Linked DNA regions of Arabidopsis thaliana. The protein of the gene in region 2 interacts with the protein of the main gene of each other region in a pairwise test. Each region holds a gene or a part of one and is shown on either strand. Other genes may lie near its edges.

What was found.
Region 1: the proteins of AT5G66560 (region 2) and AT5G57860 interact in a two-hybrid assay, tested with the Arabidopsis thaliana proteins (one large-scale study listed by BioGRID).
Region 3: the proteins of AT5G66560 (region 2) and AT1G03140 interact in a two-hybrid assay, tested with the Arabidopsis thaliana proteins (one large-scale study listed by BioGRID).

Annotation. Positions count from the first base shown.
Region 1 is NC_003076.8:23,435,373-23,445,606, reverse strand, and holds AT5G57860 (Ubiquitin-like superfamily protein), read right to left. Parts: upstream 8,054-10,234; 5' UTR 7,878-8,053; intron 7,688-7,877; exon of another isoform or gene 7,652-7,687; 5' UTR 7,617-7,651; coding exon 7,614-7,616; intron 7,334-7,613; coding exon 7,148-7,333; coding exon of another isoform or gene 7,133-7,147; exon of another isoform or gene 7,002-7,132; coding exon 6,962-7,001; intron 6,579-6,961; coding exon 6,520-6,578; 3' UTR 6,204-6,519; downstream 1-6,203. Other genes in the region: MPS1 (multipolar spindle 1), read right to left, coding at 1-1, 94-207, 325-373, 464-543, 746-802, 920-1,066, 1,199-1,256, 1,463-1,630; eIFiso4G1 (MIF4G domain-containing protein / MA3 domain-containing protein), read right to left, coding at 2,174-3,172, 3,257-3,499, 3,587-3,937, 4,030-4,117, 4,237-4,334, 4,436-4,645, 4,736-4,843, 4,949-5,020 and 1 more; ADCL (D-aminoacid aminotransferase-like PLP-dependent enzymes superfamily protein), read left to right, coding at 8,320-8,455, 8,646-8,692, 8,929-9,095, 9,184-9,860, 9,965-10,059.
Region 2 is NC_003076.8:26,559,947-26,570,806, forward strand, and holds AT5G66560 (Phototropic-responsive NPH3 family protein), read left to right. Parts: upstream 1-4,241; 5' UTR 4,242-4,421; coding exon 4,422-4,459; exon of another isoform or gene 4,460-4,564; coding exon 4,565-4,634; exon of another isoform or gene 4,635-4,735; coding exon 4,736-6,064; coding exon of another isoform or gene 6,065-6,070; exon of another isoform or gene 6,071-6,146; coding exon 6,147-6,716; 3' UTR 6,717-6,907; downstream 6,908-10,860. Other genes in the region: AT5G66550 (Maf-like protein), read right to left, coding at 29-109, 205-246, 336-427, 530-599, 686-769, 850-924, 1,011-1,082, 1,184-1,309; PSBO1 (PS II oxygen-evolving complex 1), read left to right, coding at 8,798-9,040, 9,337-9,630, 9,717-10,178. UniProt on the Arabidopsis thaliana protein: May act as a substrate-specific adapter of an E3 ubiquitin-protein ligase complex (CUL3-RBX1-BTB) which mediates the ubiquitination and subsequent proteasomal degradation of target proteins.
Region 3 is NC_003070.9:753,761-764,201, forward strand, and holds AT1G03140 (splicing factor Prp18 family protein), read right to left. Parts: upstream 2,544-10,441; 5' UTR 2,464-2,543; coding exon 1,621-2,463; intron 1,131-1,620; coding exon 711-1,130; 3' UTR 501-710; downstream 1-500. Other genes in the region: PSAD-2 (photosystem I subunit D-2), read right to left, coding at 1-382; AT1G03150 (Acyl-CoA N-acyltransferases (NAT) superfamily protein), read left to right, coding at 2,701-2,778, 2,885-2,975, 3,794-3,926, 4,177-4,246, 4,439-4,499, 4,590-4,681; FZL (FZO-like protein), read left to right, coding at 7,561-8,050, 8,126-8,631, 8,750-8,818, 9,253-9,450, 9,539-9,670, 10,220-10,306, 10,397-10,441.

The DNA.
Region 1 (10,234 bases), 3.1 Mb from region 2:
TCTAAAACAGATGGTGAAGGAAAACAAATCGTAGAAAAATGATAATTAGGAAGGAAAACACAGTTAGAATCATTATTAAACTGTTGAAGTTACCATTTCCTTTGACGGGAGTGCACATTCTTGTGATCAACTGTGTAATCATGAAGCTGATAGATTCTTCAACAGATTCTAAGTTCCTTCCCATCGATATTAACTTCTTCAGTGAAGCTTGAGTATGCCAAACAGAGCATTAATTCATAAGTGCAAACCAGGTTTATATTAAAGGAAATGCAGCTCAGGACTTAAATAATTTGTTTGCAACTCGGGAACTTTGAATAATATTACCGAATATGAAATCTACAGCCTGATGTGACCAATTGCTGAAGTTAGAGTCCTGCAGAATATAAGAAGCAAGTTCAGAGTTGCAAAGCATTTAAGAGTGCGTGCATATTACCAGAAAAAAACTTAAGCAACAAAGCCTAACATTGGAGTCTGCTTCAGACAGTTCCAGGAGAAAATCTATAGAGATCCTAAGATGTTCTGCTTCCTCTTCATAATCCGGTTCTGCAGTCAAAGTTTCAACTCAAATAAAAAAGAGTCCCAGAATATGAAATGATGGTGCTTGGTTACATAGACTCTGTTTTCCACTTCTCTCTCCCATATAGCACATTACGTCATATTATGATATGTTCTTGTATTGCTTTAAGGAAATTGAAACTCTGAGATAATAGACGCTAAACCAGGAAAAGGAAGACCCTAAACAAACCTGAGGGCTGCAATCTTTGAGATGATCGAGTTAACTTCCTTCTGCTCCTTCTCCGCGCTAAGGATAAAATGACAACACAAGCTGATAAGTTAAGCCCACAAACACAAAGGTAACAAAGAGAATACAAAATGTTCAAGCTACCAGACTGATGAACCTAAGAATAGGAAAAGAGACCTAGTCTGAGAAATCTACGACGAAGAACATCATTAAATCTCGATTCAGAGGCTTCTCCAATCCTCCTACCGCTGAATACTCCCAAGTTATCAAAGAAATAACACTTGCAAGAAGCATTCGCTGGGAATAAGTCACGATGAAAAGAACCTATAATTGACACAAAATGCATTAATAGAAAGACCAATCAGTTCTAGAAACATCTTGCAGCCTTTCCATTTTAAGAATCAATAAATACAGAAACGAATTTTTGCAAAAGTTAAGAGAGGCAGAAAAAAATACTTTCAGCATCCTTGAGATCTTCCTGGAGTCTGATAATCTCTTTCTTCCTCTCTTTAGCCTAATTTCAAAATCGAAAATCTCACTATGTTAGAACCTCCGTCTCGCAACAATTAGAGCTGACCTAGATTTCTAAACGAAGAACAGAAATCGAAATGTAGCCTAGAATTCGTAGATTTCACCAGATATATATATCAGATAGTTCGCAACGAGAAGGCCATTAAAACCAAATGCAAAAAAAAATAAAAAAAAATCGAGAAGTTTCACCTTCTGCTTCCAGCGAAGTGCATCAGATTCAGAAGAAACATAACAACGGGAAGTAGAAGAAGAAGATTGATGATTCTGAAACTTAGATCGTAGCAGAGAAACAGCGATTGCCAGTCTCAGCGACTCTTCCTTCTCTGTGTGATTTGCTTCAGCTACGCTTGAACTCATTTTTGTTTAAAATTGAAAAAAAAAAAAAAAAGTATTTTAGTTTTCAGGATAATAACTAATGATTCTCTGTCCTGCGCGGGAGAGTTTTTGTGACGCTTTACAAAGCCCACTCAGGCCCATTGATCAAACTTGATAAAGCTTAAGGTCGAATGAATCATTTACTCAACTAATGTTAGCTCAGAATCAGATAGGAATAATAGGAAGACGATGATCAAACATTTCCAATGTAATTATCTGAACCGACCAGTTTATAGGGGTCTCAAGTCTCAACAACAATCAACTGAATATAATAACTGAGACCGTAAAACAAAAATGCAAAGGTCAAAAAAAGACAAGTCACAGAAGAATACAAAAAAGGACATGGACTCATGCCCACAAAGAAGAGTGGTGAGAATAATGTCATAAGAAAAAGCTTCAACGAAGAGCAAAACTATTTTTGAGTTCTGAGAATCCTTTTCTCCTCCTCCTTCAAGCTTACAACACAACATTCATCGCACAAGCATAAGACCCAGAGAGAGCAAAATCGTCAAGTAATGATTCCTTTTACAGATTCCGACAAGCCTCTATGTCTGCAGCCTGTGAGGCCAACAAGGACTTCCCCTGCTCGCTTGACTCCACAATGCGTACAGCTGCATCGACCACCATCTTCTGGAACCTATCGTCTTCCATCTTCCCTATAATTTCTCTAACCAATTTGAAATCCACACCACCAGCCAGAATCAGCTTTCCCACAATCTCACCAAAATTGTTTGGTGCCTTAGGAAGATCAATTCCAATGTCGTCCAACATAGCACCGTAGAGCAAGAACCCAGTTTCAAGATCCTTGGGTGCGACTACCTTCTTTGATAACAAATACTCCAAGAGTGTAGCAATTGGCTCAACGACAGGCGGGCTTTTCTCAAGAGACAGGGATATTGCTTCCTTCACAAACTCTGGGTGATATGACGGCAAACCAAGCTCCTCTACACACTGCAGAGCTTCACCAAGTAGTCGGACATTGAAATATTCCTCGAGAAGCGACTTTGTTTTTCTTTGGAGCACTTCTTCGCTCAACTTGGGACCACTAGGCTGTGGTTTCTCCACCGGAACTGGTACGGTCAGAGGTGCAACTGACTGTGCTGGCCGTTCTGCTGACACGGTAACTGGACGCGACACTGAACCACTTCCCTGCAACAGTGCGCTTGTCTTGCCACTCATAATGCCACTGCTGCCTTGAGGTAAGAGCCTCGTGTTCATTGAGGCCGACTTGCTCACTGCTGGAGAATGTAGAGGTCCTGGCCCATCGCGTCTAGACATTGATCTTGTCCGGGGTACCTCCCAGTTATCATTGTCCACTCCGGGCATCCCAGGCATCCTTCGCGTCCCAGGCATACCAGGCATCAAGCCACCCGCACCAGGTCGCCCACCAGGGTAGACAGGGCCAGGGCTCACAGGCCCACCACTAGAAACCATACCCCTTCTCATATTTGCAGTGGCACCTGGTCGGAGACCAAGATTCTTCTCTGCCTCAGTATGTATTTCGGTTATAGTTCTTGCTTTCATCTGCACGAGTAATGTAAATAGAACATTAGAATCACTACACAATGGAGCAGGAAACAAGTCTCAACCTTGTAAAACCTAGAATACCTCTTCCCGCCTTGGAACCCAGCCATTGGAGCGCATGTCGATGATATTCTGAACCATGAATCTCAGACGCAGTTCCAACTGAGGATTCTTTGACAGAGCCTGTAGGCGTTTGAAATATACATCATTAATCCGTTTTGACTTCACGTTTCCGTCAAGTTGTTTGCCAATAGTTTTGAAGAAATGACAAATAGCTTCGACATTTTCCTCGGCTGGACAAACTTTCTCATCGGCCCCCAGAAGCTCCTGTGCACAGAACAAATTAAGAAAGGTTAATGCTAGATACCAAAATAAAAGAAGTCTAAGAAAATGTGTAAGCTTATAGGTGTTAACCTGAACAATGTGATGAACAATCTTTTCTGGGACCATCTTCTGCTTCAAAAGCTCACCAATCAAACGAATATTTCCTAGAGTCTTGAGCTTCAACAATTTTTCTTTGTCATTCCGCTCAGCCTCCTGATCTGGAGCACTCATCTGTCTAAGCTCCTCCCTCAACTGAGAAGCGCCCTCAAATGCCTCTTGACAGATATTCAGTAGAACCCTCTTAAATGTAATCTCCTTATCCCCAGGCTCTGCAGGTGGGAAGGTGGGCAGCTGGTCGTTGATATCAGAGCACAATTTTGCATACATAGGGCAAAAGGTCGGCTCAAGGACAGCTTTGTCAAAAATAAGGGTAATCACACCCTACAAATGAAAGAAAAGAACACGGGTTAGCCACACAAACAGCCTAGATGATTCAAACAAGACTTCATCTATGCTTGAGACATAGCATACACCTTCAGGATATCAGCAGATGTGATGCCAGATTCAATAAGTTGGCCCTTGAGAAGGTCATACTTTTCAGGGGTTAGCTTGTTCAGTATCCTGGACAAGAAAAGTATATCTTTGTAAGTGTGCATAGTCTATTTTAAAGATTTCATGTTGGCAGTAAAGGAAAGTTATACAAAAGTCTAGACAACTAATAACTGTCACAACGGCATTACCCTTTCACAGTCTTCAGAACACGATCATTTTCAGAAAGGTTTCCTCTTCTAGCTGACCAAGGAACTTCGGCTTTGACGAGGACAGGAGCTGGTCCACCCTGGTTCCACACGATATACAAATAAGTAAGAAAAATAAGAAATCATGCCAGAATGTAAAGGGCTAAGAAGAGGGAAAAACATTCATCTATTGATCAATTACCCCTTGGTTGGATGATATGTTTGCCCTTGAAAACTGGGAATTAGGTTGGTCTTGACGATTATATTGACTTGCTTCAACATACCTGGAATCTTTAGCTTCACGAAGATTATCCCACGACCTTTCCTCCCCAGAGGGTGGAGGTTGAGTAGAACGGCTACGCCAATCACGAGAGTCTGGCTCAGAGAAGCGACTTGCGGATTGAACGGGAACCTGAACCATTAAAATAAAAGATATGTGTTAAAAGTGAAACTTCATGAAACTATACCAAAATGCAAAATTTATGTTTCAACAAAACTATACCAAATTGCTTACGACACTTTCTCCACGTGCCCAAGTCCCTTCCTCACCAAACAGTTCAGCTGCAGTTTCCCGTTGGACTCTCAGAATTTCATCAGAGAGTTGAGTGGTCTGTATATATGCACAGACGTCAATGACCTCAACTAAGGAAGAACAAATACGAACAGCAGAAACTAAACCGGCTTTAATCCTATATTATTTAACTGGGATAATCACCTCTTTAAGCTCCAGGAGCTGCTCACGGGTGTACTTCACACGTTCACGGCCATCGAACCTCGAGTCTCCACCCTGAAACAAAAGCACAACCCAGGATAAATCTTCATTAACTAACACCCAATACACAAAATCATATAAGAAATAACGTATAAAGGAGACAAGGAACCACGAGTACTCAGTACAAAAGAAAGAGAGGAATAATTCTTTAACCATAAGGCCGAAATGAGTGATGAACTAAAGAAAAACTAGAAGAAATGTCAGTAGGTCCTTTATGAGCAAATAGCAGCTAACAAAATGCCCACCTAAAAGCCTACATATCATTATACGTCCATATTTACAGCAGAAACACATACTTGCGTGCGCCACTAAGAATCAGGACAAACAAACTGCTTGCATTACTCGTATTGACATATAAACCTATGAAGTTCAATTATGTATGTTGCAGACACCTATCAAAATCCAACATGAGCTCAGTAGTTATTACAAACACAAAGCATTAAAACTCGCAAATCAGAAAGATATTAGCCAATTCAGACATTTGAGAGAATCAAATCAGCAATATACCAAAGATTATAATTCCAAACAAAAAGGCTGCTGATTGCGACAAACCCGTAAAAAAGGATAAATTTTTAGCTCAAGCTAAGACAAGAGAGATAAAACAAATTCTAAATCAGAGGAAGAAGAGGGAGTTAGATCCAAATTTAGAGAGGGGACCCAGAAATGAGGGTACCTTGAAGGGAAAAGAGGAAGCAGGAGCACCACCATGAGGACGAAGGAGAGGTAGATCCGAAGATGAAAGAGAGCCAAAAGAGAGAGACGAAGAAGAAGAAGAGGAACCAAATAGTCTGTTTCCTCGACCGCCACCAGGTCTCAAGCTCAGAACCGTTTGATCGCCTTGCTGCATACCTCGATCTAATCCGCCTTAAGATCGAATCGAATCTCACAACAAAAATCGAAGAGAAAGGTAGAAGCTTTATCAGCGACGATGAATCGCTGACTCCGATAATCCAAGGAGAGGAGGGATCGGATTTCTGGGTCTCTCTCTCTCCTGCCGTTAGCGAAGAAGAGAAGAGAAGAGAAAAGTTGAGATTGAGAAATGAGAAGAAGAAGAAGAAGTCGAGAAGGAGACACAATCCCTTCTCTTTATTAGGGTTTTTTTCCTCTCTTTTTCCCGAACCAGACACACTTATAGCCTTAACGTTTTTTTCCGTTAAGATTACAGTTATGTCCTTTCATTTTGTTTTTTTGTCTCTTTATTTTGTCACCCTCATTGGGTTTTCCGTCAATGAACAATGTCAAATGGTAATAATGGAGCTTCCTCGGCTCGTGTTAGCTGCACCTCTAGCTCATTGTAAACATATTAAGAGACTGTAAAAACTACTAATCTGGCAAGTTGCAATCAAACTTCCACATCTCAATATCTTTACTTACAACAATTGTCTGTAACAAACTAAAGAGGCGTTAACACAAGCAGAGACGCAAAAGAAACAACTTCTGGCGTTTATAGACTCCTCCTTGTGTTTTGAATCAATACCTTCTCCTGAAGTTTCCTTGATACAGTAAGCAACTCTTCATGAAAGTGAGAAGTCGGTGGGCTGTGCAATGTTGACATCCTCAAACTCGTTATCATCTGCACATGGAAAAAAGAGATGCAATGCAATCATTATGCCGTTCATAGCTGTATAGATTCAGAATGCAATACAGCATCCTCAACAGTTGTGTAATCGAAACAAGGCTAAAAGAATAATAAGATTAGGAATCACATTCAGCTATATCACGGTCACAAAAGTTAGGCAAGACTCTTAAACATACCAAAAGATTATCCAGTGATAACAAAATAACTAAGATTCACAATAACAGGCTCAATTGAAGTCAATGGAGTTTGAAGGGTTCATATACCAAATAACATATAGAAAGATGAAGTGTGATAAGTAATTAACCAAGATGCATGATCCATTACGACATTTCAACAAGGAATTGAAAATTTCAGAATAAGAGGATCTAAGGTATAACCTTTCTTCAAAGTCAAAGCCACAACTGCATCATTCTCAACCTGAACAACCAAAAAAGAAGATGGTGACAAGCTTATAACTTTCAAATACACGCAAACGGAGGCAGTGGCTATGTGACCAAGTTCTTCTTTTAAACTTGAGCAATGACTCAAAAGATAAATATATTAGATAGTCAAACGTGTGATACCTTCTGATCTGCTAAGGATTTCGAATCCTCTAATACTTCTTCGGTAGACATTAAGACCAGACGCTGATTGTTAACTGGTTGCTCAATGAGAGCAAACAGTTTTTGCTTAACATCCAAAACAGTCTCTGTTGGATCACATTGGATAAAGTAAGTAGTTTTCATGCGCTTCACACGAATATACATAGCCTGCAAACAATATTACACAAGACTAATCAATACTACAACCAATATGGCCAAAATCTAACTTGTTCGATTGATTAAAGCAAAATTATTGCAAGACAAAAGTATCTCAACTTTTATTACTCCAAGAAGAACAGTAATAAATGTGATCAGGAAGCTGGAATTAAGAAGGGAAAAGATGTTCTCATTCCAAAAACATCTCTACTTCCCGTCAAATAAGCAAAGGATTGAATATACTAAGAACAATCAAACCCATCAAAGTGAACAAAAGAAGTAGAATGTTTACCATGGCAAGATAAGGATGAACAATTCACTCTTCTTCCGCTGCCGATTCACAAGACTTTAGAATCAAAATCTGTTCTAAGATGCCAATAAAAGATTAATCAGACTATCAGTGACAATTGACACACCTCAAAGAGTCAATTTAACTAAAGAGATGATCTAGTTATCCCCCAAATCTTTTCTTCTTTTGATATTCAAAAGAAAAGAAAAAAAAGCAAAGATTTTCAAAAATTACTGACTCAAATAACAAACAATGAAATCGACTTACCTAGATGGGTTAAGGACGAAAAAGTGACCACAAGAATGGATTAAGGATGAAATACTGGCAAAGAAATCAAAGTTGGCTTTTTTATAACTCGAGCTCAGAGCCCTACAAGGTAAGGAAGGAAGAAGAAAAATACCACTTTGGTGGCTTGTTTGGCTACAGATATAATACTAACATCGATTAGGCGTCGTACAAAACCCACTAAAAGACAGAGAGGGTTTGTTTTGTTTTAGGCTTTTATTTTTGATTGATTGAATATTAAAATACAATGCGAAAAGTCATATTGGGCTTATGGGCCGAATAACTTTATTTTATTTTTGTGGTGAAGTTAGGCCCAAATATTTTTTCGTCTTCTTCCAGTTCACGACTGAGATAATAATAATGCAAAGCAAGTTGCTATTTCCGAATGATCTCTCTCTCTCTATTCTTTTGAGTCCCAAACCCCATGGCAGGTTTGTCGCTGGAGTTTACAGTTAACACTTGGAATCTCAGGTCTCTCTCTCAAGTTCCATGTCCTTTAAGACATGGCTTTCGATTCCCGCGTCGGTTGACACGAAGAAGAACGATTCTCATGTGTTCTGGTTCGACATTTCTACCTTGTGTTCTCTCTTTTCTGATTTTTCTTCTGGATTGTGATTGGTGATGCATTTATTATAATCTTTTTAGGGTAATGTACACTTATTACCCTAAAAAAGAGATCAATTTGTTGATCGTTAAATTCCATAAGTGTTCTGGAATTGATGACAAAAATCTGCATTCGTTTCTCCACAGATTCAAGCTCTCAGTCGTGGAATGTTCCTGTTTTATCTAGCTATGAGGTAATTATGGTTTCTCTTTTATGTCTGTACTTATCAATCATATCTTTAACTCTTGAAACTGTTCACAATTTGTTAGCTAGAGATGTTTATTGACACAACCACCAGACATTTCTGTGTTTTGTCAATGAAATTATAGATGCAGCCCGTAATGAAGGATTGCGACATTTGTTTGTTATCCGTTTATGTTTAGAGGCGTTGATTGATTGAGTATCAGTGAAGTATGTTTGGTTTAAAAGGTTGGTGAGAGGCTAAAACTAGCAAGAGGAGGACAACAGTTCTTGGCCATGTACTCAAGTGTTGTTGATGGAATTACAACCGATCCAGCAGCGATGGTTCTTCCATTGGATGATCACATGGTTCACCGTGGTCATGGAGTCTTTGACACTGCCCTGATCATCAATGGGTTAGTCACTTTAAATAGTAGCCCCCTTTTCTAATTTGTCTTATTACTCAATCATCTGAGCTTCGCTTGTTGTCCTACGAATAAGCAGATACCTTTATGAATTGGATCAGCACCTTGACCGTATCTTGCGATCTGCATCAATGGCTAAGATCCCACTTCCATTCGATCGAGAAACTATTAAAAGAATTCTCATTCAAACCGTGAGCGTTTCTGGATGTAGAGATGGATCTCTAAGATACTGGCTCTCTGCAGGGCCAGGGGATTTCCTCCTATCTCCATCTCAATGTCTCAAACCAACTCTCTATGCCATTGTTATAAAAACGAACTTCGCCATTAACCCAATAGGTGTCAAGGTAGTGACCTCGTCCATCCCCATAAAGCCTCCAGAGTTTGCCACGGTGAAAAGTGTTAACTACCTCCCTAACGTACTCTCACAAATGGAAGCTGAGGCCAAAGGAGCTTATGCAGGTATTTGGGTGTGTAAAGATGGGTTTATTGCAGAAGGCCCGAACATGAATGTGGCGTTTGTTGTTAATGGTGGTAAGGAGCTTGTGATGCCGCGGTTTGATAACGTTTTGAGCGGATGTACAGCAAAGAGAACACTTACACTCGCTGAACAGCTTGTAAGCAAGGGGATTCTTAAAACTGTGAAAGTAATGGATGTGACAGTCGAAGATGGAAAGAAAGCAGATGAGATGATGCTTATTGGTAGTGGAATTCCGATCAGACCTGTGATTCAATGGGATGAAGAATTTATTGGTGAAGGTAAGTAAGATTATCATATAAACATTTTAAAAGCCTCACTTTTAATTACTTACATGATGGATAGATTGGCTGATTAAAGATGGGTTTCTTTCTGTCTGACTCAGGAAAAGAAGGTCCTATAGCAAAGGCGCTTCTTGATCTGTTACTTGAAGATATGAGATCTGGTCCACCTTCCGTTCGTGTTCTTGTTCCTTACTGAGCCAATCACTCTCTTTGTTCATCAAAGACAATAAGCTGTGGCTTTTTTGTAAAGCTTTGCTGTTATTGTAAGTTGAGTTTATCATGGGGTTTTTAGGTATCTGTCTTTGTAAAGATTTCTCTTTATCACTTTTGAATTATGATTGTACCCATTCTCAACAATTCATGGAGTGGTT
Region 2 (10,860 bases):
GCGAGCTTTTTGTATTAAGGGAACTAACCACAGAATCGATAAAGGGTGAAATGAGGGGATGCTCCAGTGTTAAACCTCCAGCAACCTTATAAGTTATTGCATCATCAATCTGAAGATTGAATAGAACACACAAACTTTATATGTCAAAACAAACTAAGTTCAAGAGATCGATAGTAAGAAGAAGAGTGGTTTTAGAAGTTTTACAAGACCGTCAATGACTTGTTCTGGTATCTCATGGAAATAAACCTGCATCACCACAACATTCACATCACCACAAATTGTTCAATCCACAAGAAAATTTGACAAAACAGAAAGAAAAGTTTATATCTGCGTACCTCAGCTTTGTCCCATCCTCCTTTTTTAACTCCAGTTTTCAAGTTTCTAACAAGAACAGATCCCACAACTCCTCCGTGTGAACCGGAATAGCCTGTGTAGATTACAAACAAAACGCTTAAACACAACCATGATCAGCCTTACAAGTGGCTTATAGTATCATAGAACACATGTACATAGTTAACTTGTACGAAACCTTTGATAAATTCACGAGCTTCTTCTTTAGTGGTTGGTTTTTCTCTAATAACACCTTTGTACACAACAACCTAATAAACTCCATCACCATAACATCAGCTAAAGATACCAAAAAGTTAACATTCTAATCAAAAAGTGTTGAGGCATCAAAGCATACAGTGTCTGCAGTAATCAAAAGAGTTGGTTGAGGATCTTTTGCAAACTGGCTCTCACCTCCCAATTTCGATATAATCTCATTTGCCTAGTCAAAACAATTACCATCATCATAAATTGAAAAGACATTGAATCAAGATTACAAAACCCTAGAGTATTATTATGTACCTTGGCTTCAGCAAGAGCCACAACCAAATCTTCAGGCTTCTCTGTCCTAATAGCTTTCTCATCAATGTCTGCAGTCTTAAAAAAAACATAATCCCCAGCCAAACTCAATTTATGTTATGAACATCCATAGCAAAACAATAATAATCACAATTTGAACATACCACGATAGTGTAATCATATCCCATTTCAGCCAAAATCCTCTTTCTCGCCATGGATTGAGAACCCAGAATCAGCTTCACGTTTGAGCATATTTCGCATTTCATCAGCATTTTCCCATTGATTTTTTTTCAAATTTCTACCAAAAAGGGAAGAAATAGCAGAGAGAGAGACAAACCTTAAATCCTCTCTCCATGGCCTTGGTCGTCATCGTGGTGTTGTGCTCTAAGCGGAATAGTGAAGAAGGAAATATAACAAAAATTAACAAAATTCGTAGAAAGAATTTGTGTGTCTTTAAGCCCATGTCCAATCCACACGCTTCTTCTACTTTCAAGAATAACTCTTAACAATTCCCTTCAACTTTATCTTTATCTTTTTTTATATTTTTTCAATCTATGAAGAATATTATTGTAATACTCCATTTTCATTTATCATAAGTTTTAACTATAGCTTTATTATGAAAATTTTAAATAAAATCCATCTTTTCCATGTACAGTTTTTTACTATTTTTAACAATAGTTTAACATTACCGTTACATTATAGTTATATATATTTTTTGTCATCTCACCAATCACAACCAAACCTTTCACATGGAATTAGGCTATCTAGCTAATTAGTCATGGAAAATTAGGTTATCTAGCTAAAAAATCTTCATTCTTGCAATGATAGTAAGAAATTGGAATTCTTTATATTGGAATTTTTGTCTTCCCGAAAATGGTGTTTGTGAAAAGAAAAATATGTAAAGTTGATCCTCCATTCTTTATCACAGCCTGTAATCTGTATGATCCAATAAGAAGATGTCACATGTAAATGTAAAATAGGTATTCAAATTGTGGAAAAGAAAAATAGGTATTCAAATGGGGCATAGTTATCGACCAAAAAAAAATGGGGAATAGTTTACAAGCCATAAAAACAATTGGGCCTATTTGTAAGGCCTTACAGCTATTTGAATTATTTTATAAATTATCAAACATTATTGGTGATAAAGCAATTTACGTTTTTCAAAGGGGTTGCAATTATAAATACCCTTGGGCCTGTTTTTGAGCTTCTCGCACATATGGAAGTTATTGTGAAAATCGTACAACTACTAGGACTATTTTATAAATACTAAACACTACCGGGGAGAAAGTAACAGAGATAGAACAAGTGACATAGACTCTGAGTGAAGGAGTTGAAACGTGTATGACCAGTGGAAGAAATGGGACGCGGTGGTGATCGGCGCCCACGTTGTGTATCACGACCATCTCTACGAACAAACATCTCCTCAAAACGATGTGTTTTGATGATGACAAGGATGCAGCCAGAGGGGAAGAAGTTAACATTCCTGATGGCTCCTCTAAGAAGATGGCCTAGAAGAAAGAATATGTCTTCTTCAAGAAAGCTCGAAAGCTCTTCGATATTGACGTTATACTTGACTCTGATGTTCCTCAAGAAGGTTCCAGAATCAGCGTTGTGGTTTACCGTTTCGCCACGAAACAGCCAAATCAAAATGGTTTGATTGTTTCGTGTGTGCAGTTGCAAAAATGTTTGTCATGTCTATTCAAGTCTATTCATGGAAATTATAAGCATTTAAGACTATTCAGAGTCTACGTAAAGTCCAAAAGAAAAAAATCAAACGAAGCAGCCTCTGAACAAGGGTAACTTCCTACCCATAGAATTTTAGATTCTTAAATGAATGTTTGCTTCTTTTGGAGTTTGTGGTCTAAACTTTCGTTGACCGTTTATTGTATATCAAATGGTTTGTTTAATTTAAGCGAGCTACTAGACTAGTAGTTTGTGATATAGTGTATGTCAATTAAGGATAAACACAAATGTTACATTTATGTGATTGATATTCTGTTTTTTTCTAAAAATTGACAGAAGCGTTTTAGTTGTGAACAAATTTCAACGTATATGTTAACTAATGTTTAATGGTGTGAAAGTTTGAAATGGACGAGACGATGTGAGGAGAATATGAAACCACAATTGTTTAGTCTTTCGTAACTTTATAAAGCCAACATTCCATCAAATGATATTTCTCCTAACACGAGATCATAAGGAATAAGATAAAGCAAAAGAGATGAAGGAAAAATGAATGACTTCCAAAGTTCTCTTCGCAAAAGTCTACGCTTACTTTGATTGTGTTTCTTTTGTTGTCTTGTGCTATTAGTAGATGGAGTCCAAGATATTGCATCCATGCTTAAAAAGATCAAGAATACACCACATGTTTTTGGGGGAAAAGTATATTAAAGCCCAAAAGAATGTTTTGGAATAAGTATATATATATTTTGATACGATTTTTGTTTCATAAATGGAAAGCCAAAAAAATGAAACTATCATACTAAGAAGTTACATATTAATAGACGTATCTTACATCTTCATAAACTCCCAAAAAACCCTAAACCTAAGTGAAGAAAATGTGTACTAGTATGAGATGATAGATGAACATATTTAGATAAGCATTAAAAACATGAAAGGAAATGTTTGTAACAATCAATTCCAAAGAGGGGTCTACTACAAACATATATAATAAACACGAGCAACCGTAATGTTTGCTTCCACATTCAAAATTTCAAAAAGGTCGAATTATTAGTGTATTGTTTTTGTTTGTTTGGTTTTAGACTGTGGATGAACAAATCAATGCATTGATAATTGCACATACTTTTTTCTTTTCTCTTGCTACTCACTTTACATCTGTAAATATTGCAATAAATTTCATATATATATATATATATAAATTTAGAAAAACACCAATTAATGTCTCCTTGCAGTCCACATGGGCTTCCTAAACGTCAAATTTTCCCAATTTTCAGAATTAGGTGAAACGTTATTATATCTAAAAAACAGTCTAGATAATATGTCTGCCACTTAAACAAAAAGCAGCTTCCTCTTTTGTTTAGTTTTGATGATTTATCAAATGAATATCAATAAAAAAAATACGAATAAAATCAATTAATATACTTTGTAATATCAATTGAAACAATGCATTACACATTAAAAAAGAAATAGTAACACATAAAAAGAAACAGTGGAAAGCAGAAAACGAGAGGGGTGTGTATATATTACTAAAGAATTAGTTTAAATGATTAACAAATGAGTGGGATTTTTGCTTCTCCCAAAGCGTAATTTATCTGAAAATGTGTCTCGTGTTGAGAGTAGTTGAGATTCTTGCTGTTCTCCAACTAAACATTAACTTTTATTAAAATTAAAGAAAATAAAAAGATGGATCAAAAACGAGATCCCCTTTTTCGATATCCGAATAATGTTTTTCTTTGCTTTTAATGTGTCTCTTTCTTATGATTTAGGATTCCAATTCCTTCCCTTTCCCCTTCTTGTTCTCTCCATATTCTCCTCTTTAGAAAGAGATAGAGAGAGTCTTGTTTTTTTCCTGTCTTGAGTGATATTTTTTTCAGAGCCCTGAGTTGTTGTCTCCATTAATGGCGTCAGAGAAATCTACCTCCAAGGGCCAAGCATGGTGAAGATCAGCTAACACTTATCTTAACAATAATAATATTTTAAAATGTTGCCTAAAGAAATTTTCTCATTTCCTTTTTTTTTTCGTTTTGGTATCGTGATGCAGGTTTTGTACGACTGGGTTACCTAGTGACATTGAAATCGAAGTTGATGACATGACATTCCATCTCCATAAGGTGCGTTCACAAAAGCCTGAAGATTTGTCTTCTTCTTTGGCACTCTCTGTTTTTTCTTTGATTACTCACAAGATTTGTGTTGTTGTCTGTGGCTTTTCCAGTTTCCACTCATGTCAAAGAGCAGGAAACTTCACAGGTTGATTACAGAGCAAGAGACTAGATCTTCCTCTTCCATGGCGCTGATAACTGTAATAGACCCAAAAGTAGAAGAGACTGACAAGAAAGGTAAAGGCCATGAAATCGAGGACGATAAAGAAGAAGAAGAAGTGGAAGAGCAGGAGATCGAAGAAAATGGTTATCCTCACATCAAACTCGAGGATTTTCCCGGTAGTTCAGAGAGCTTTGAGATGGTGGCGAAGTTCTGCTACGGCGTCAAGATGGACCTCTCTGCTTCCACCGTTGTTCCACTTCGTTGCGCCGCCGAACACCTCGAAATGACGGAAGAGTATTCACCAGATAACCTAATTTCCAAGACTGAGAGGTTTCTCTCTCATTCCGTCTACAAGAGCTTGCGTGAATCCATTAAAGCTCTCAAAGCTTGTGAGTCAGTCTCTCCTTTAGCCGGATCGCTTGGTATAACGGAACAGTGCATCGACTCTATAGTCTCCAGAGCTTCCTCAGCTGATCCTTCACTCTTCGGTTGGCCAGTAAACGATGGCGGCGGAAGAGGAAACATCTCCGCCACCGATCTGCAACTTATACCCGGCGGCGCGGCGAAATCTCGAAAGAAACCGAGTAGAGATTCGAACATGGAGCTGTGGTTTGAAGATCTGACGCAACTGAGTCTTCCGATCTTCAAAACTGTGATCCTATCAATGAGATCAGGAGATCTGAGCTCCGATATCATAGAGAGCTGTTTGATTTGTTACGCTAAGAAGCACATTCCCGGGATTCTACGTTCTAACCGGAAACCGCCATCGTCATCTTCAACCGCAGTTTCAGAGAATGAACAGAGAGAACTACTGGAAACAATAACCTCTAATCTTCCATTAGATAAAAGCTCCATCTCCTCAACAACGAGATTCCTCTTCGGCTTATTACGAACCGCAATCATCCTCAACGCCGCCGAGATTTGCCGTGATCTGCTGGAGAGAAAGATCGGATCGCAGCTAGAGAGAGCCACGCTCGACGATTTGCTCGTCCCTAGCTACTCATACCTCAACGAGACTTTATACGATGTTGATTTGGTAGAGAGAATCTTAGGCCACTTTCTCGACACCTTGGAACAATCCAACACCGCCATAGTCGAAGTTGACGGAAAATCTCCGTCGCTGATGCTCGTCGGGAAATTAATCGACGGATTTCTCGCGGAGATCGCATCGGACGCTAATCTCAAATCGGATAAGTTCTACAATCTAGCCATCTCACTCCCAGATCAAGCTCGTCTCTATGATGACGGACTTTACAGAGCCGTCGACGTATATCTCAAGGTATAACAATAAAATTCAATGTGAAGAGAAGATCGGAGAATTTGGATCTGATTTGTTTTGAAAATTTCGTTTTCTTCAATAGGCGCATCCATGGGTATCGGAAGCAGAGAGAGAGAAAATATGCGGCGTGATGGATTGTCAGAAACTGACGTTGGAAGCGTGCACACACGCCGCGCAAAACGAGCGGCTTCCGCTACGAGCCGTCGTACAAGTTCTCTTCTTCGAGCAGTTACAACTCCGGCACGCGATCGCCGGGACGTTATTAGCTGCTCAATCGCCGTCTACGTCACAGTCAACGGAGCCAAGACCGTCAGCGGCAATAAGGAATCTAACGATAACGGAAGAGGACGGTGATGAAGCGGAAGGAGAAAGACAGGTGGACGCTGGGAAATGGAAGAAGACGGTTAGAGAGAATCAGGTGCTTCGCTTGGATATGGATACGATGAGGACGCGTGTTCATCGGTTAGAGAGAGAGTGCTCGAACATGAAGAAAGTGATCGCGAAGATTGATAAGGAAGGTTCATCACCGGCGACGACGACTGATCGGCCGAGAAGTTGGTCGATTACCAAAAAATTCGGATGTAAATTCAAGACACAGGTCTGCGATTCACACGAAGCAACGATGGTTGATCATAGATCACGACGGTCTTGAATTGTTTTCGATTGATTTTACTCTTTTTAGTACAGAATCAGAAAGCATATTGTTGTGATTCTTGGATTTTAGTTTTTGTTAATCCTTCGAGATTCTTGCTATGCGACTGCTCTACACAAATGTGCATCGTTTTGAGTCTTGTACTCGAATTAGTAAAACCAGAAATGACATACGGCACAAAGCCCATCGTTAAACGTTTCGAATTGAGCCCTTTTCTCGACTTCCTCCGAATGGGCCGTAACAATGGGCTTCAGTTGCCCTTATCTATCGTAAACTGGGCACTGTTTTGGAGAGAAATTGTTTCATATTTGTGGAATGTGCGCCGTTTTAACGTAGGAAAAGAGGGACGAACTACTCGCTGTTCAGAATCGGTAGTAGGACTTCATGTCGTTTTATAAAGGAGAGTTCCTAAAAACCTAAACCCTACTTTAGTTCTACTATATAAATCAACCGGCTTTGGCTGAGAAGAAGCCATTAGCACAATCCGAGTACCGAATCAAACCTAAGTCTCTGTAAATTTCCTCGTTTTCCGTAGATTTAGTTCTTTGTCATCCCATCTTATTAGGGTTATTCGTTTAATTTCGTTTGAATCAGTTGATACTCTCTGATTTTCCAATATGTGTTTGAATCGGCATATTAATCTTTGATCGACTCGATTTTGTGTTTTTAGAAAATAATTTAGATTTTTTTAGAGAAGGAAAAATATTCTCAGTGATGAAGAAACAATAGATGACGAGTCCGATGAAATCCATTCATAAAATCGTGGGGACAAACGAGGCATTTGTCTGAGAGGATTATTTTTCTTCGTTTTAGCATTCTAAAATATCTAGGTTTTAGGAACGTGTATAAAGGGGATTTCTCAGTGATGAAGGAACAATAGATGACGAGTCCGATGAAATCCATTCATTAAATCATGGGGACAAACGAGGCATTTGTCTGAGAGGAATCCTTTTTGTTCAATTAGTTTTGTTTTAATTAGACTTAGCAGGAAGAAGAAAGGCATGATGAGGATTGTTTTATTGTCATCTGATTCTTATTGATGAATCTATACCTCCTACTCATTCTGAGTGCCTTCTCTTGCTCTTAATTTTCAGTCACAGATATCATTGCATTAGTAGTCACTAAATTCGGATTCAATTATATTGACTCTAGGGAACACTACATTTCAAGTGAATCTACAGATACTCTAATAATATAACACAATCTGCTAAGACCAAGTGATAAACCAATTGAACTAACAAAAAAAATAAGTTTATGAAATCATAACTATTTCTTGATATTAAAAAATAACAGCAAAGATGCCAAGTTCATATAACATAAGGCCTTCAAGGAGAAACCATAACTTGTAATTTCAAACTGTATACTGGAAAGCAGACTGTGCTCAATGTGGTTTTGGATAATTCCCTGCATCCTAGTCCTGAAGTTGAAGCAAAACCTCTAGTATTGGCATTCTTACATATGATGAGTTAATTTCTGAGAGGGACGTACATTCTGATTCAGGCTCTAAAGGATCGATTAAGATTTTTAATTTATCAGGACCAAATCAGAAAAAATTTATATGATTTCTATCTGTATACTTAGAACAGCATCCATAAAAGAAAAATGTTGTTGAAGATCAATTGGACATTGGACAAAAACCTAGTGGGCCGGGCCTTCTTTGCATCTACTACTTGAAAGCCTTAAAAAAGAAAATTAATTGAAAATTAAATTTTACATTTAAGTGTTAGCATCCAAGGCCCATTAGCTCAGTTGGTTAGAGCGTCGTGCTAATAACGCGAAGGTCGCAGGTTCGAAACCTGCATGGGCCACCTTTAATGTTTTTACAACATAACAATTTTTGATTATTTTATACTATTATACAGGTCAGCACCCCTGACTGAGACAGTATCCATATCTCCACTTCAGATTTCGACACGTGGCAACAAAAAAAACCAGACACTCCGATTCCCACGAAACAAACCAATCAAAATCGTTGCCTTATCCCAATCTTATCTCAGCCCTTTTGATTATTACTCTTTAGTCTTTACTTTGCTCACAGCTTTGGATCACCAAAAAAAAAACTCAAGAGAGACTTTGTGGCCATGGCAGCCTCTCTCCAATCCACCGCTACATTCCTCCAGTCGGCGAAGATCGCCACCGCTCCTTCTCGCGGAAGTTCTCACCTCCGATCGACTCAAGCCGTCGGCAAATCTTTTGGGCTCGAAACTTCCTCGGCTCGCCTCACTTGCTCCTTCCAGTCTGACTTTAAGGACTTCACCGGTAAATGCTCCGACGCTGTCAAAATCGCCGGATTCGCTCTTGCCACCTCTGCTCTCGTCGTCTCGGTAACTTTCTTTAATCTCCGACTCTCCTTTAAAACTATAGATTAATCAAGAAAAAAAAGGAGAATTGAGTAACAGAGAAGAAGAGTATTTTGTTGTGTTTGTGATAACATGTTTATGATTTGCATTACTATGTATCGAAGTTGGCACTTGAGAACACCTAAACCAATAACAGACTCGGATAGTATAATAGAAGGAGAAACCGCTATTCCAATTCTGTAATCTTCGATTCATGTAGATACAATCTTCTTGGATCAGTGAGTTTGATTTAAAGTTGCTTGTTTCTCGTGTAATGAAAGGGAGCAAGTGCGGAGGGAGCTCCAAAGAGATTGACCTATGATGAGATTCAGAGCAAGACATACATGGAAGTGAAAGGAACTGGAACGGCTAACCAGTGCCCTACTATTGACGGTGGCTCTGAGACTTTCTCGTTCAAACCCGGAAAGTATGCAGGAAAGAAGTTCTGCTTCGAGCCTACTTCCTTCACCGTCAAGGCAGACAGTGTAAGCAAGAACGCTCCTCCAGAGTTCCAGAACACAAAGCTCATGACCCGTCTTACCTACACCCTTGACGAGATCGAAGGACCCTTCGAGGTTCGATTTCGCGTCTTTGCTTAGACTGCAAGAAAAAACTCTGCTTAGGGTTAGGGTTTGTGATTGATCGTCTCTTTAATGAGCAGGTTGCTTCAGACGGAAGCGTCAATTTCAAGGAAGAAGATGGAATCGACTATGCTGCAGTCACAGTCCAACTTCCAGGAGGTGAACGTGTGCCATTCCTTTTCACAGTCAAACAGCTTGACGCCTCAGGCAAACCAGACAGCTTCACCGGAAAATTCTTGGTTCCATCGTACCGTGGCTCTTCCTTCTTGGACCCAAAGGGCCGTGGTGGATCCACAGGATATGACAACGCCGTGGCATTGCCAGCTGGAGGCAGAGGAGACGAGGAGGAGCTTGTAAAGGAGAACGTGAAGAACACTGCCGCTTCAGTGGGAGAGATCACTCTGAAAGTGACAAAGAGCAAGCCGGAGACAGGAGAGGTGATCGGAGTGTTCGAGAGTCTTCAGCCGTCGGATACTGACTTGGGTGCTAAGGTACCAAAGGATGTGAAGATCCAAGGGGTGTGGTATGGTCAACTTGAGTGATCATGTTATTATATTTTCCGTTGATTGTGTTTGATGATAATGATAACATCTTTTGATGCTTTCTTCGTTTATCTCTCTTATATAAAATGCACATGCCTAAGATCTTGAATTTTCTGTATATCCATGTCCTTCATCGTAAAAACAGTACCGATTTTAACCTTACGGTCTATGATGAGAAAAGCATAAAAATTGTTTGTTATCGACTAAATCTGGTTTGGTTAAGACTTAAGAGTCTATTGGAAAGTTGTGAAGCACATGTTAAGCAGTTGAGGTGAGTCTCTTTGTAAAGGTGAAGATGAGTTTATATATCGTACTACTTGTTTAAACTCAATAAACTAGGCTAAGTTAGCATTTATCAGAACTATAACCAAATCGAATTTGTTGTATATATAGATTGGTACAGTTATTTATCACCAAATTTAGTCCACTTCGAACCAAGTCAAAGAAAAATAGGAAATGCACATCCTTAAGAACCTCTAATTGTCGGTTAAAAAAGACTAAGAACTGTTCAAAACTTATGATCTCAAATGGTAATAATAGAAAGAACTAGCCGTTGTTTGTTTGTTTTTGTCTCCCTTCAACCCAACCCTTTGTGTATTTTTCCTACACTATATTATCCAATGTTTGGGCCTTAAAACATGTTATCAGTCCCCAATATGATGGGCTTTCTTGTATAAGTTCC
Region 3 (10,441 bases), on a different chromosome or scaffold from region 2:
TCCTCGCCAGTTTCAATAGATTCGGTCCTTCTCTCATTATCGCAGCTCCTCCTGTTGGCATCTCAAAGATTTGTTCTTTCGGTGAGTTCCATGTGATCACGTAAAATTCCTCTACTTGTGCTTTACGGAGGAGACCTCCTGTGCTTCCGGCGAAGATTGGTGATGGTGTGTTTGGGTCTAGCTGCGGGGGAGTGAATCCAACTGGAGCTTCTTTCACGGCTGGGGCAGCAGAGGAGGACTCTGTTTTCTCGGCGCGGATGGCGGTTTTGGTGAAGGAGAGAGACTTGGGACGGTGGCTTGATGAGAAGAGGTGGAGTTTCTTGACGGCGGAAGTAGTGGTTGTTATGGCGGGGCTGAAGATTCCGGCGGCTTGAGTTGCCATAGTTTCTTCTGTTTTCTCTGAATCTTTCTCTGTGGAGTAAATGGATAGAGATGAAATGGCTTAATAGAATCTGACAACGAGAGGGTAGATGAGAATCGAACATTTTGGGATAAGGTGATCATACCATTTGGACCAATAAGGTTCCAAGATTCGATTCTCCTCTTACCCTTACTAGATCTTTAGGCCATGTCGTTTTATGAGTTTGGATATGTTTCCCACATGCCACATAAGACTAGACAATCAGGTCAACGTTTTAAATAGACGATAATACAGAGTCAACGTTTTGATACAAAAATAAAAACACAACAAAGCAGAAAACACAGTAAGACTAGCTTTCGCTCTGAGAAGGCATGAGCCGGAGTCTCTCCTCTGAGACCTGTTCACGATTACCACCAAAGAATCTCTCTTCGGCTAGCAAAGACTGTAAGTCGCTTCCGTTGGCTAAGCTATTGAACTCAACGGCTTTAGAAGGCATAGTTGGATAACGTCTTTGACAGAAAGTCATCAGTCTTTTAACTGACTGAAGATACTTGCGAGTGGTTTCATCGTTCATGATGTGAGCAACACTGTTGGTGTAAATCTTCTCTCGAGCTGAACGTTCGTGAATACCAACCATAGTCACTCCAATAGGCCATGGCGCGTTCCCGATAGCTAGTTTGATGTAGTGGTCCATTGCAGCAAGGTAGTCTCGCTTTATGCAGTGGTTAACCATCACCATTAAAGCTTGACGAATGTCAGCTGGTAAACCCTGCAATTTTAAGCCATAACTAGAAAGATCAAGTTCACGAAACCTCATAAAATTTCAGTGTAAGAAAGTATACATTCTTAACACTTATAAGACAAAGACAGAAAGAGAGAAACTTTTTCTGCATTCAACATTCCAGCCTATTTTTCTTCAGCTAAATGGAGATAACTAACAGAGGCCTCAATGGCAAATTCAAGGTGCATACAGATTCCAACTTGCTATTCTACGTTCTCATTGTCTACCTAGCACTAGAACTTATTAGAAAACTCGTCCTTGTCGCCATATAATCAAAAGTACACAAACTAATGGAACCTAAACACTGCACATTGGTCTTCCTACCCAAACTATGCTTAATAAACATAGTTCTCTAAGCTTATTAGATAGAACTGAGATAATCTATCTCCAATTTCATAAACAGAGATAATCTCCCTAACAATTTTCTTGCCAAACAATGATTTACACCTAATTAACAATCGAAAGCAAGAATCTTTACCTTCTTCCTGCATAAGTTGAAGAGAGGAACTAGATACCTAGCACACTGCTTAAAAGTGGCTACCATCTGTTTCCCTTTTGCAGTTCTCCTCTCAGTGTTCTCCATCGCATCAAGCTCCTGTTTCCATTCAATCAACAGCTTCTTATAAAACACAAGGATCTTATCCTCATCGCATAGATCCTCAAAGTTAGCTTTCAAACGTTTCATATCTTTATCAGCATCAACATCACTCGATTCACCACCACTAAGTTCATCTTCCCTTGTTTCACCTCTATCACCTTCGTCTCTTCCTCTCTCATCTCTACTCTTCCTCTTCCTATCTCCCATCATACCACTCTTCTGCCTCTTCTTAAGCTCTGCGATGTCACGCAAGAAATCATTCGTCTGTCCTTCAGTCATATCACTATCAACCTCGAACAATCCTTCCTTCAAAACGTACTTGAGTCGATCGAGCCGCGATTGATCATCTTCTCCGAAGAGAGTCATCGGCTGCTTAAGGAATCTCAAACGACGAATCACTTCCTGCCTCGGGAGAATTAGGTTTTCGTCGGTTAGGGCTTTTGAATCGGCGATAGCAGCAGCGTCCGATGCAGAGGATTTGGAAGACGCAGACGTAGCTGCGTTAGAAGAACCAGGAGCAGAGCCGGATGATTTTCCATCTCCACCGGAAGCGGCGGCGGCGGCTCTCCGCTGAGCCTTAAGCTCGTGCTCGCGTCGTTCTTCCTCTCGAAGCTTCTGGATTTTCTTCTGCTCGATCTCAGACCGCTTGAAGAACTTCTTACCACCAGATTCCTCAGCTAGACTCTTACGTTTCTTCAGAATCTCTTCCCTGAGCAGATCCATCGGAAAGGTTTCTTCAATCGCCGCCGAGGATTTGGTTCTGTTGTCTGAGAAGGTCGCGACGACGGGAGATAATGAAATTTGATCATCTTTTACATGACGTCATCAGTGTTATAGGCCCAAATATAAATGGGCTTTATTAATTTTCTAACTGGGCCATGTATATTGCTTTGTTGTTGTCTCCTCTTTCTTTTTCCAGAGAATCTGACGAAGCTCGAAGGGATTTGAGAAAAAGAAGAGATGACGACGATACGTAGATTCAGCTGCAATGACCTTCTCCGATTCACTTCCGTGAATCTGGACCACCTCACTGAAACAGTAATCTCGTGTTTCTTCTTCTTATTATCTGGTTTCGTCTGATTATTGCTTTGTTTTGCTATGGCGATTTTGTTGATTTTTGTTCGAATTTTGTTTCGTGAAACAGTTCAATATGTCCTTCTACATGACCTATTTAGCGAGATGGCCTGACTATTTTCATGTTGCTGAAGGTCCCGGCAATCGTGTCATGGGTTATAGTAAGTAATCCTCTTGTTCTCTTCGTTTTGATTTCTTTATGTCTTCGTTGGTTTAGGAATTTGAAATTCGTGGAGATTATGTTTACTTTTAGGGTTGAAACTTAGATGATAAACTGTTAGTGTAAAAGCCACTATTGATTTTTTTTGGTTATCAGATGGAGATAGCTTGAATGTTGTTAAAACCAGGAAGAGTGACTCTGTTTGAAAACTGATTAACACAAACCAGGATGTATAAGTGTTTAAACAAATTCTGCTTGTATTAGTCCTAGTCTCTGTAGTTAGCGGTTTTAGAAATCTTGATATGGGGTAGAAGATGCATAGGAAGCATGGCTTAAGATTGTTTGTGCTAACTTCTAAATGTCCAGAGAATGAGTTATGAGTTATATCAAGGCTCAAATTTTTCTGTCTTTCAGTGTTTGTAGTATAATGATGCTATACCTTATTGGATTGGTTCGAAATGTGATTTATACAAGGCTTTATCTTTCTTTATTTTCTTCAAGTACGATATATGCTTCATTATTGACGTTCTGTTCTCGTGGTGCCCTATTACTATACCTGTTTTTCTCCCTTTTCGTGGTATAGTTTGGAAAGAGACCTTGGAAGTATAGTGAAACCATTGAAAGAACTGAGAGTAAAACTAAGCTTTTGGATATTAACACATTTGAAAATTAAGCAGTGTCACTGAAATGTTCTTTTGTATAGTTGAAATGTTATGGTTGATATTCTTGAGAATCCAACGTAAGTGACATATGTAAAACTTGTTCTTATAAATATAATTTTAAAAGCATGTGTCTAACTAAGATTCTACATGGTTTCAGTTATGGGTAAAGTTGAAGGACAGGGTGAATCTTGGCATGGTCATGTGACAGCCGTCACTGTCTCTCCAGAATACCGCAGGCAGCAACTTGCAAAGAAACTGATGAACCTTCTGGAAGATATAAGTGATAAGATGTAAGACTTAACAATTACAAAGCATCTCAAGTTTTAGTGTTCTCTTTGATATGGATCGTTATGATATAAAATATGAAAGCCTTAATATATTGATATTGGCTTTCGAGTGGACCATTTATTTATTTGAAAACCGATATATTTAGATTGTTTCAAAGGAAGAAAATCTTGAATTTCTCCTCATTGATTTTATATATTATCTGGTAATTTCTGGTCTTCTAATGATTATTATACTTGTGGTTATTGATTGCAGTGATAAAGCCTACTTTGTGGATCTTTTTGTAAGAGCTTCCAACACACCAGCCATCAAGATGTATGAAAAGGTAATATATTAGGATTATGAAATTGATTAGAAGCCTCATAATGTTGATGACATTGTAGGAAAAAAAGAAGAAGTTGTAAATGGGACATGCACACATTTTACATATTTCCATTTATTAGTGTCAAATCTCCTTCATAGGCTTCTTCTTGATGGCCATTTTGATGAAACAAACCGTTTCTCCTTTTTCTGGCAGCTTGGATACATAATTTATAGGCGGGTTTTACGCTATTATTCAGGAGAGGAAGATGGATTAGGTGAGGCTTTGATTAACTTCTTTTTATCTATGATTCGCGCTTAACTTTTTCTTTTGTTTAAATCTTAAATCGTTTGATCTAAAAAAACAGATATGAGGAAGGCATTATCAAGAGATGTAGAGAAAAAGTCTGTGATTCCTCTCAAGAGACCTATCACACCTGATGAATTAGAGTATGATTAAGACCCTAACTTGGTTCACAATTGTTATCTGCATTAAAAATTTCTCCAAGAGCCTTTAGATGATGTTACTATTCCTGTTGTTTCGTATTTGAACTATTATGTTTCGTTTTCTTCCACACAAATTTATAATTAGTTTTGATTAAACTTTAATCTATATATACATTTTTGGAGGAGATTTTTGAAGATAATGTTGAAGATTTGAGCCATAATTCAACAATTAATTCAAATGGTTGGGTTTTACCCGGTTTAACTCTGTTCGGATCCTGGATAACATGTTTAATTCTGTTCTGATATTGGATAACATTAATTTTTGGAAAAGTTACCTAAAAACTAATAATTAAAAACGAAAATTAATGATTTAATATAAACAATATCTCTAAACTAACCATATTTCTTATTTACCTTAACCAATTTCCTAAAATATTTCTACCTAATTTAAACATAAATATATAATTCTTCTTTCATTTTTATTTGATCTTATACTTTATTTATTTTGAATTTATATAAAATATATATAGTTAATAAAATATTATATTTTTTTCTGAATATGATGTAATTCAAAGTTTTTTAAACGGACATATATTATTCAACCTATGAAGAAATAATATGTGTACAATGTCCCACATCGCTTAGAAAAATTGGACAATGGTTCAGACCCATATTATAAAAGGACCAAAATGATTCTGATTACGAATGAGCAGGAAGCTTGATTTATCAAGCGTCCAAAATTAAAATAGTTATCTGATTTTACTCGGATTTATTATTTTAAAGAATTGAAACTTTAAAATGTTTCAAGAAATTATAAATATTATAACTTTATCAAAAGTTAAATATTATAATTTTAAAAACTTTTTATAAAGTTTATCTTTAAATTAAAATGGTTTGTTTCCTAGGGTTATTTATTTTAAAAAATTGAAACTTTAAAAAGTTTAAAAAATTATAAATTAAATTTTACAAGAAATTTAAACAATATAAAAGATATTAATACGGGACGATATATTGCGAGAGAAATCTTAGATATAACACTCAAAATTCAATGATGAAGTTTGGGTCAATATTAATCTTTTTTGAAGTTTCTAATTTTATAAATATTTGAAATTTATAATAAAATGACAAATTTGTGTTTAATTTCACGGGACGGGGTTATATGGTGTGACAGGTTTGAGTGGATAATAACATGGGATAGTATGCTATGGAGAAAAACATATAATGACAATCATAATGTAATTATATAATCTTAAACACTAAACAAAATTAACAATATTAAAAAAAAAAAACTTAAAACTTTAATTTTTTTAAAACACATTTTGATTCTTTTATAAGAAATTTAAATATTATAAATATTTAAACTTTATACTACGGGTGAAATTTTAGAATTGACTGTTTGGGTTGATAAGAATTTGCGATAGAACTAGGAGTTAAAATGACAATTAAAATATAATTATACAATTAAATACTACCACGAGCGAAATCCTAGAATTGACGAGTTTGAATCGATATTAATATGGGATGGTGTACTACGGGTGATATTTTAGAATTGACTGGTTTGGGTTGATAATAATTTGCGATAGAATTAGGAGTGAAATCCTAGAATGACAATTAAAATATAATTATACAATTAAATACTACCACGGGTGAAATCCTAGAATTGACGGGCTTGATTCGATATTAATATGGGATGGTGTACTACGGGTGATATTTTAGAATTGACTGGTTTGGGTTGATAATAATTTGCGATAGAATTAGGAGTGAAATCTTAGAATGACAATTAAAATATAATTATACAATTAAATACTACCACGGGTGAAATTTTAGAATTGACGGGTTTGATTCGATATTAATATGGGATGATGTACTACGGGTGAAATCCGAGAAACAACAATCAAAATACAATTATACAATATTAAACATTTAACAAAATAAACAAATACAACTTAAAACTTTAAAATTTGAGTTATAAAATTTCTTCTCGCGGTGAATTATACATTTAAATCAAACAATAGCATTAAATTTATTAAATCATTCTAAAAAATATTCAATTATTTTTTATTTAATAAAAATATAGAACCCTTAGTTGACATAGTTGATAAGTCAAGTGTTTTACTCTTCTAATCTTAAGCACTTACCTTAATGAGACACACATATTAGGATTGGTTGCACAAGGCCGATTCTTATACACTGTATACCCATTACAACGAAGCCCATTATCAACCCTATATAGCAATCTGCAAGACAAAGATCCAAACATATTGAATAACAAGTAACTTTTTTTTTTCTCGGTCCAACTTCATCTGGAATAACAAGCAACTTTTATCTGATGTATATACTTTCAGTGACCATCTACCTTAGTTGGTTTGAAAAGAAAATAGTTGTTTATTCGTTCATGTTCTTAGAAGTTCTAAATTTTGATCATCTCTTATTTGAAAGCTCAACTAAAATAGCTATGATATCATTCCCTGATGCTACGTACTAGGTTTTTAAATTCATACACACACAAATCTATAATTAAAACTTGTTAAATTCATACACACAAAGGACAAATCTTCTTCGTATTAAAAAAGATGGAGGCTCTGGAACATCTAGTGGTGCCGTATCACTTACTTGACTGGTTCAAGCCGTTTGTCTTTGTTTGGAAGAAGTAAATTTAATTGTGGGAGAGGGATTTCACGAATTTAAATCTGTTTTTCTCCCTTTTCGTGGTATACTTTGGACCTTTTGGATATGAACACATATGTGAAAACGTTAATTCATGTGTTTGAAAAGTAATTAATCGCGCCGTCCGTCTTATAGCTTTGGGATGGGCCAATAGGATATTTAAGAGATAAGAAAACTAATCAGAAACACAGACGAAGGTATCTCACTCTCTCTCTTTCTCTCTCCATGAGAACTCTAATCTCTCACCGGCAATGTGTGACGTCACCGTTTCTTATCTCCGCCGCATCTCCACCGTTTCCTGGCCGGTGCTTTAAGTTATCCTCCTTTACTCCTCCACGTCATAGGCGTTTTTCTTCTCTCTCGATCAGAAACATTTCGCATGAATCCGCCGATCAGACTTCTTCTTCTAGGCCGCGAACTCTTTATCCTGGTGGTTACAAGCGTCCCGAACTCGCCGTTCCCGGTTTACTTCTCCGGCTAGACGCCGACGAGGTTATGAGCGGGAATCGTGAAGAGACTCTTGATTTGGTCGACCGTGCTTTAGCTAAATCGGTTCAAATCGTCGTGATTGATGGCGGAGCCACCGCTGGTAAGCTCTACGAGGCGGCTTGTTTGCTGAAATCACTTGTCAAAGGCCGTGCTTACCTCTTGATCGCTGAACGTGTTGATATCGCCTCCGCCGTTGGTGCTAGTGGTGTTGCTCTCTCCGACGAAGGTAACAACTGATTTCATTCAGTTTTAGCATTTAATTTCTCATAGAGTGAGTTTTGTCTCTCAATGCTATGTACAGGTCTTCCGGCGATTGTGGCGAGAAACACATTGATGGGATCCAACCCCGACTCGGTACTTCTTCCACTGGTAGCTCGGATTGTGAAGGATGTTGATTCTGCTCTAATTGCCTCAAGCTCCGAGGGTGCTGATTTCCTTATACTTGGATCTGGTGAAGAAGATACGCAAGTGGCGGATTCTTTGTTGAAGAGCGTGAAAATACCGATATATGTGACTTGCAGAGGCAATGAAGAAGCTAAAGAAGAATTGCAGTTACTGAAATCAGGTGTTTCTGGTTTTGTTATTTCGTTGAAAGATTTGCGTTCTTCTAGGGATGTAGCTCTTCGCCAGAGTCTTGATGGAGCTTATGTTGTAAATAATCATGAGACACAAAATATGAATGAACTGCCGGAGAAAAAGAATTCTGCTGGCTTCATAAAATTAGAGGACAAACAGAAACTAATAGTAGAAATGGAGAAATCTGTGTTGAGAGAGACGATTGAAATCATCCACAAGGCGGCTCCACTGGTGATTTTTATTTCAAACATTTGGTAGTTGAAGTCAATTTTTTGAAATGGTTCTAAGTAGGTTTTTGTGTGGTTATAATATGGTTTCATTTACTTCTTCGACTATTTTTCATTAACAGATGGAGGAAGTCTCCCTTCTAATTGATGCTGTTTCTCGGATCGATGAGCCGTTTCTGATGGTTATAGTGGTAATTCTGCACTCAACTCCGTCAAATTGTGATTCCAGGAATTTGCATTGGTATTAGCTCTATATTCATTCCAGAAACATTTTAGTTACACACTTTTGCCAGCACTAGATAGCTTGAGATACAATGGGCATGCTTCTAGTCACTTGTCCTTTAGTGCTTCTCAATATCTTCTTTCGTCGCCTATGACTATGATGTTTCGCTTCTTCTTTTGTTCTGTCTATGCTTCTCTTCTTAATTTGCTTATGGATCTGGTTGTAAGGGAACTGCATATTTCTTAACTGTACCATCTGCTTGTGTACATAGTTTTTTCGCTTTCTTGTGACTTGTGAGTATGCCGTTCTTGGAAGATGTTTTAAGTGGGACAAGTTGCCTTTATGATTCAAAATAGTTTTTGTATGGATAATTAATTGGAATCCACAATTTGCTGGTACTAGGGGGAATTTAACTCTGGAAAATCAACGGTTATCAATGCACTTCTTGGGAAGAGATACCTGAAAGAAGGGGTAGTCCCCACTACCAATGAAATCACGTTTCTGTGCTACTCTGACTTGGAATCCGAAGAGCAACAACGTTGCCAAACACATCCAGATGGCCAATATGTATGCTATCTTCCTGCACCAATACTTAAGGATGTGAGTAATTCAAAATTCTACCATCGCAGTCCTGAATTTTTACTAATTATTTGGAGGAATTGATTTGGGTTGTTCTCCTTTCGAGCAGATAAATATTGTTGACACACCTGGGACCAATGTGATCCTTCAAAGGCAACAGCGTCTTACAGAAGAATTTGTTCCACGTGCAGATTTGCTTGTTTTTGTTCTTTCTGCTGACCGCCCTTTAACTGAAAGTGAGGTAGAAGTTACCGTTTTACTTGGCATGTTAGTTGTTGTTGTTTTTGCTCAATATGTATCTGCCTAAGTAGCTTGTTAGATCTATTTTTCACGAAAGTAGTTAGTTAAGTCATGTATAGACCATCAAGACCTTGTGTAGGGAAGGGAAAGTTGTCACTAGGTTGAATGCATATATCAAGGTTTTGTTGATTATAAATTTAAACTAGACTAATTTATTTTCAAAGTAATGAGTGTTATAGCTATTGCTGGAACCAGTATGTCCTGTTGGTCCATATTTTGGTAAAGCTTAGGCCAATACATTTGAGAGGTGAGTTGTTATTGGTACAGCAAAACTGATTTTACGTCCATGGCAAATTGTATGTAAATGATCATCTACGAAGTACTAACCTTATGAATATTTGGTTCTTATTTTGAAAATCTGAAAAAGTTTCAAAAGAAGGAATAAGCTTCTCAATGTCATCATACCCATGTCATTTCTATCTCTACCTCTGGAGCTTCCTGCTGTCTTGATTTTACTGTAGGCTGATTTACATCTCATTGCGTTTGTCAGGTTGCGTTTCTCCGGTACACACAGCAGTGGAAAAAGAAATTTGTGTTTATTCTGAATAAATCTGATATCTATCGTGATGCTCGTGAGGTTTATCAGAAACAATATTTATGTCTTTTCCTTGATAGTCTCTGTAATTGCTGGATTTTTCTTGACTAAAGATTAATTTTACTGCTGCAGCTTGAGGAAGCTATTTCATTTGTTAAAGAGAATACACGGAAGTTG